Xenopus tropicalis: one gene and its partner. The protein of the gene in region 1 interacts with the protein of each later gene in a pairwise test. Links are inferred from orthologs where the notes say so. Each region holds a gene or a part of one and is shown on either strand. Other genes may lie near its edges.

Region 1 (3,700 bases):
GAAGGACCAGGTGGAAGGTCTCAGAGCTAAGCAACAGGTTTCCAAAGAGCTCAGTGATCCCCTTACATAGCCCAGACTTGCCAGGAACTTCAATTCCTTGTTTCTGCTTCACTGAAGCAGAAAATGAAATATAAGCTATAATGAACAGGCAAGGAGCTTATTATCCATGTGGTGGTATACTTTATAGGGATAGGTTAGGACAGACTAACAGAAACTCCTAAAATAATGTGAAGCCTGATGAGTGATGGTGTTAGATAATTGCCAGTGAGAGAGCCAGACAAAGCATTTAACTGTGTGGTAGCTGGCTAAATATTACTACATTAAAGCTGCCCATACATATTTAGTGAGGTGCAAAATTAGTAAATGGGCAAAATTGTGCTTATCAGAAAGTTTGGCCCCTGAGCCAAGGGGCCTACGCAAACCTGTCAGACAAGGTCTGCATCAATGCACCAAAGTGGTCCTCCGCAAACTGGATTTTTCAATCTGCCAATTAGCAGTCTGTTGGGAGGCCCCTTATATGGTCCAATAAGCTGTGGTCTAGGTCTTCGGAGTTGCAGCTTATATCGACCTGTGTATGGCCAGCTTTATGGCGTGTGCTACCATGCTGCCTGAAATGAAAATACAGTATCTAGTGTAAAAGTGACAATAAGTAAATTATGAAGTATGACATGTATGGGCTTATTTATCAGTTTTTGAGTTTGTGAATTCAAGTTTGTTTTTCTGAATCAAATAAACTTGCATATTGAATGCTTGCTTATTTATTAACAAGGAAAATTCATCAGGAAAAAAAAAACTTGAATACCTTGAATTTTCAAGTTTATACACTCGAAAAAACTTAAATATCTTGAATTGAAAATATGGTTTGAATTTGCCTAGAACAACTCCCATTGACTTCTATAGAAGCTTTTAGATGATGAATTTTTACATTTGAGTTCCTGGTACTATATATAATGTCCAGAGCATTAAATAATGTCATGTATAACCGGAAAAGTTTATTGATATACAGATATGGGATCCCTTATCCAGCAGGTGTGGCTTGTTAACTTTCTGGGCTCTCTGCCAAAAGCCCACTTATTTAATTAAGTCTGAGGAACAATGTTTCTAAGTGCAGGTGAAGCTTGTTAAGATTTCTGGGCTCTCTGCCAAAAGCTACTTTTTAAATAAGGCTAATGCCACACGAGGTGTAGGGCTGAAATTTTCGGCAAGCGGATAAACGCTTGGCGAAAATTCAGCCCTACGCCTCCTACTTGTGCCTGCACCCGAATGAATGGGATACGTTCGGGTGCAGGCACATGTAGCCGATATACGCATGAAAACGCGAGAGAATGCAAAGTCTATCGGCTACATGTGCCTGCACCCGAGCGTATCCCATTCATTCGGGTGCAGGCACAAGTAGCAGGCGTAGGGCTGATTTTTCGGCAAGCGTTTTTCCGCTTGACGAAAAAATCAGCCCTACGCCGCGTGTGGCATCAGCCTAAGGTTAAGAAATATTTGTATCTTTTTTAGTGTTCAGTGCAGGAGAAATGAGGGACATTTTAGTAAGAATCCAGGACTGCGGGTTGAGCTGTTAAAAGAGGGACTGTCCAGCGAAAATCGAGACATTTGGGAGCTATGCATACCTGTATATAATATGCAGAGTTTTGGTTGACTTCATGTATACTATGTCATGTGTAATATAAACTGCTTATTTTCCTTCGGTGCAGAGACAACCCAGGGGCACATTCATTATAGTACGACTGGTCTGATTACAAAAAATGTGTATTTTTTCTAAAGTTTACGACTTTTACTTATTTTCTGTGATATTTTCGTTAATTTGCGCAACTTTTTCGTACTTTGCAACAATTTGCACCACAATTTGTCGCAATGAGTATGAAAGTTTCGGATTCATTCAAGCTTCGGTATCGTGACTTTCCTTGGGCCAGGTTGGAGCTGCAGAGTGCCAGTGAGTCCTATGGGAGGCTTCCAAAATCATGAACTGAATACTGAAATTCAGAAAGGTTTTCCCGCCGTTTACGATTGTTCGGATACCAAAATTTCGTGACTATCGGATCGCCATTTGCAAATGATTGTTTCAATACTAAAATTTCAGATCGTAAGTACAAAATCTTCGTATTCAAACAAACATAATTTTCGTGACTTTTGCGATCATCAGAAATTATCGGATTTCGTGATTCAGATTCGTACTTTAATGAATGTGCCCCCTAGTGTTTGAATTCAGAAAAAGTCAGAAGACCATTACTGCAGAGACACACAGCATGTAATGGCCAGGGACAGAATGTTTTCTGTATCTAGGCAGAGATTGATTCTCATTTTTTGGGTCCTGTTCCAGTTGTGCTTATGATTTCAGTTGCCCATCTTAAATGATGGCAGGTAGAGTGTGCATGCCTGTGGGTGTCCTAAGGCAGGGGCAATGGTAGGGGAATGGATGAACCTGGGCTTGTGGGCATGAAAAATCCTTGGTTGAATGAAAAAGGAAGAATATACTTTGTACACCTATTACTTCTATGTTAATATCATGTGTGACTTTTATTTTCTGCTAATTCAGGTGCACGGCATTTGACCACAGCAACCCATATGAAGGAGAAAGAGCAGTTGTCCAAAGGAGAGAGTTATGTAAAGACTTTAAGCTCACACCATGGAGTTGTGTCAGACAGAGAGCCCTGGGAAACAGAAGTGGACAAGCTGGTCGCCTGGACTGATAGCCTTTGTATTGATTTATTAGAGGATTAAACAACATATTACACTAAAATACACTGACAGGAGCTGCAATGCACAGTAAATTAGGCAGTTTTTTTCATTTCTACAGCAGCCGATATGCAACCTTCAGTGCCTTTAAAACATAAAACCCATGAGAGGATTGTCTCCCTGTTAGGGTAACTGTGTGTCAGTGTTCCCCAACCAGTGGCTTGTGAGCAACATGTTGCTCCTCAACACTTCTTCCATTTAAATGTGGCTCATGGGTATGAAAGGTTGGGGATCCCTGCTGTAAGTGCTTAAATCTTTAAAGGGATACTGTCATGATTTTTATGGCGTACTTTTTATTTCTAAATTACACTGTTTACATAGCAAATAATTCACTCTACCATTTAAAATTTTATTTTAAAACCAACAAATGTATTTTTTAGCTGTAATATTGGTGTATAGGCAGCCATCTCAGTGCATTGTGCCTGAGTCTGAGCTGTCAGAAGGAGCCAGCGCTACACGTTAGAACTGCTTTCAGGTAACCTATTGTTTCTCCTCCCATGTAACTGGAGGAGTCCCAAGCCAGACTTGCATTTCTTACTATTGAGTGCTATTTTGATATCTACTGGGAGCTGCTATCTTGCTACCCTTCCATTGTTCTGCTGATCGGCTGCTGGGAGGGGGCGATATAACTCCAACTTGCAGCACAGCAGTAAAGTGTGATTGAAGGTTATCAGAGCACAAGTCACATGGCTTTGGCACCCTGGACAATGAAGAATATGGCTAGCCTCATGTAAAATTTCAAAATTAAGTATACATTTTTTGTGTGTGTGTTTTTGAAAAATGGATTTCAATGCAGGATTCTGCTGGAGAAGCTCAATTAACTGATGCATCTTGAAAAAGAAAACATGTTTTCCCATTCCTTTAATCCAGAGCTGGGCAACATCACTTAAAGGAGAAATAACAAAGAAGTGGGGTAGAAATATTGCACATTATGTATTGGAATCCAAGGCCACAA
Region 2 (3,829 bases), on another chromosome or scaffold:
ACTCACCGATGTGCAAAAAATACAACTGCATGCCTGTAAGGAGGTCATCTTATCAAATGGATGTTCACAAAGACACAGTTTGCACAGTATTAAAGGCTCCAGGGACAATTCTCCAGGGCTTGAATTACCTGCCAACATGGTATGATGGCAGACTTTACCAGCAGAGGCCATATTTGTTTTAGATAAGCTGCATTCTAAATCCTCAGATCTGAAAGAAAACAAAATATATCAAATAAAGGAGAACACTGCAAAACCTAAAAAAAAGAAAGAAAACCCAGAAAACCCACAGCTATACATAGACCAACTTCATCTGTAACCACCACATCAGATATTGTGTGATGTGCTACATGTTACAGCCTGTCCAGATTGGAATCTATACACATTAGGACTGAGGCACACGGGGAGACTAGTCGCCCGTGACAAAAACTCTTTCTGCATTAATACACATATTATATTATATTATATATATATATATATATATATATATACATATATATATATATGCAATATAAGCCAGCACTCACAGGACTTTTAGAAATGACATTCAGGCAAAATAAAGGTTTATGAAAAATATTTTACATGGTTTTTATTTATCCAACGTTTCAGTTCCAGACAGGAATTTTCTTCAGGAAAAACCTTTATTTTGCCTGAATGTCATTTCTAAAAGTCCTGTGAGTGCTGGCTTATATTGCATTTGTATTTTAAGAATTTTTTCTTGCAGTAGCACCCAGGCATCAACCCCTTTTCAGTGAAATGCTACCCTTGCTTGGACTATACACATTTATATGCTCTTGTATTATTGGTGAAACATAATCATAGCAGCGGTGTTATACCTGAGTGTACTCAATGCCTGAGTGTACTTTACTACAGACTACTGACTCAAGACAAGTTGTGTCAAAGCACACAGATGTTATTTACAAGAAAGGCATGCAAACTACACACAGGCAAACAGGTTTTACAATATCAGATCTACTCCTAGGACATGCAGCAACAAGGCAATACTATTTAGTACATTTAAAAAAACAAAGCTTTACAGTGAAGTATGACAAAGTCACTAGTTTTTTGTACAATCTTTAGTAAGAATCCAAGAATTAGAGATGGTGTGTGCGTGTGGGAGCTGGGACACGAGAGTCTTGGGCATAAGTACCTCTTGGCCTGGCACTGTTCTGGGTACATCTTACTATCGGAAGGATATTTAATTGTATTAAAGCAGCTCACAGGGACCATTGTTAAGGTCATGATGACCTTAAGAATAACAGCTCTCTTTTCTTTCTTTGTTTATATATGATTTCAAAGGCACATCTAAAATTCATCCTTGCAAGACTGATAATTAGATTACCAGTACACAAATCATCCCCCTGCTTAGAGAATGGTCATAACAAGGGGTGAATGGACAGGGTTCTATAGTGGCAATCTAATGATCTACCTAGCAGTGACCAAACATAAAGTAGCTTCAATCTCTCTGTTAAATGTAAAGAAATAACAAGAAAAACACAAGTCTTTGAGATTAAGACCATAATCTAAAGGTGGCCGTACACGTTACAATTATGATCTTTTCCGCAACCACTGGTTGCAGGAAAGATTGTTTGTCCACTCTAATATTAAGATCTGAATTGTCAGATATGCAGGTGAAAACAAAGAAATTCTTACCCCTACTTGATGATTCAGCATTAACGTTTGCCAATGTTCAGTCGCCTTCAAAGGCAACTGATCAAAATTTTTCGTTCTGCTCGATCGACAAGACAAGCAATATCCAAGGCTCTTACTAAAATCGGTTGCCTTGTCTCCCACCATACACACAGCTATTATCGTTCGAAACTTCGTTTTGTGCCACCTTAAAGTATGTTCAACATAAACTCTATTAACTAAGCTCATGCTGAACAAGGGGGTATACTGGTTCTTTAAAAGCATTAAGCAAAATAACTTAATAACTTATTAAAAAAAGGCAGCTGCTGCACCAGATGTTGGCATATCTTGAAAAAACAAACAAACAGTAATCATGAAATAAATGCTGATGTTTTGGAAATGATTAAAAAAAATCCAAAATTGAAATGCAATATTATGATAGTAGAAAGTCAAGTCAGTATTGTGGCACACAGTGTTTTTCTAACACCTAGGGGCAGATTTACCAAAGCCCGAATTCGAATCCCGAATAGCAAAAATTCGGATTGGAAAAGAAAATTTCGCGACTTTTTCGTCGCTATAGCGAATTTATCGGATTTTGCGCTACTATTTCGTCGCCGTTGTGACTTTATCGTATTGAACGATCGTAAACGGCAGAAAAACCTTTCCGACTTTGCATGATTTTGGAAGCCTCACAGAGGAATAAATGGCACTCTGCAGCTCCAACCTGGCCCAAGGAAAGTCACGATACTGAAGCTTGAATGAATCCGAAACTTTCGTACTTGGCACTACCATACGATTTTTTCGCGCCGGCGATGAAAAAGTCGCGCCGGCGACAAAATAATCGCTAAAATACCGATCATTATGAAAAAAAAAACACATTTGGACGCATTCGAAGCGTTTGTGCCTTAGTAAACAATATTTGGCCAGATAATAATCAGAAAGAATGTATAATGCCATTTCGCAAGGACAATACAGAATCAGATACAGCTAAGGTGACAAGCTCATATATGCCATTACAGCATTCTGCATACATATCAAGTCAAAGGCAGAGAATGAGGATTGGACATTGGACATCTTTTTTTTTTTTACAGCATGAGGCTGTTGTTGAAAACAAAGATCATATAAGGACCTTAGTCCACATATAGGGGCCTAAGCCCCTTAGTGTTCCTTTAATGAATTCCCAGTACATTGTATTAGAATACCACCCCAAAATTGCTCCAACCTAAACTACACTGGCTCAGCTAAACCACAACTTTCAACAAGAACTGTTGGGGGAGTGCTGTTATTTGCAGAACAGCTATAGCTATAAGCTCTAACAGAGGTGCAAAGAGCACAAGAATGCAAGTACCAATACCTGCATAGATATTGCCTTATTTATCCATAATGTATGCTCTTGTAACTTAACAGATACTGAACTGCATAGCATATTTAAAATGACACAATAATAATAAAAATGACTAACAGCCCTTCCGTGAAAGCACTTGGCAAGTCATAGGACTATGAGGTAACAGACATTTTAAGAGAAATACAATATTTGTTCAAATATGTGAGCTACTACTTGGGAAACAATTTGCACAATCAGTTTACCAAATCCTAATAATTAACTTTCCTGCTATATAGAAATCATAATTCTCTGCTCCAAATTATTCAGCACTAGTATATCCAGTACAACAAATATAAAGATATAAAATACAAGACGTTCTAACAATATAAACAGCTGTTGTGTAATATAAGCATATCTAAAACTACTTCAGAATACTATGGGGGAGATTTATTAAAGGAGACATATTGGATAAATGGGAAAAATGCTAATTTTGTAGGCAATTATGAATAATATACGGTGCTGGTTTCCCTTTGGGCTAAACATTAACCCTATCTGTAACAATGGCCCCTTTATTGGAGCTCCCTATAGATCCTATCATTTCTCCGTCCAGTGTGAAATGAAGAGTGGGCGTGTCCTAACAGTCCCTGCCAGAAGCACAGTAGGAGGGGGAGAGCCAATCACAGCCCTGCATTCACACAAGCATAGACAGGCTTCAGTTCCCTATCAGGTCAGCCTAGCTGCTGACTTGAATGTTCCAAGCATATTTTCGTCGTTTTTTTCGTGACTTTTTCGTACGCTTGTGCAAAAATTTCGGAAAGGTTAAGCCGCTGTTTACAATCGTTCAGTACAAAAATTTTGTGACTTTTGGATCGCCAATAC

The links.
Region 2: the proteins of ube2u (region 1) and rnf144b interact in a two-hybrid assay, tested with the Homo sapiens proteins (2 studies listed by BioGRID and IntAct). The link is inferred for Xenopus tropicalis from reciprocal best matches to the Homo sapiens genes UBE2U and RNF144B.

The regions. Positions count from the first base shown.
Region 1 is NC_030680.2:84,733,661-84,737,360, reverse strand, and holds the end of ube2u (ubiquitin-conjugating enzyme E2 U), read left to right. Parts: intron 1-2,545; coding exon 2,546-2,730; 3' UTR 2,731-2,955; downstream 2,956-3,700. UniProt on the Homo sapiens protein: Catalyzes the covalent attachment of ubiquitin to other proteins.
Region 2 is NC_030682.2:93,574,337-93,578,165, reverse strand, and holds part of rnf144b (E3 ubiquitin-protein ligase RNF144B), read right to left. Parts: intron 209-3,829; coding exon of another isoform or gene 172-208; coding exon 7-171; intron 1-6.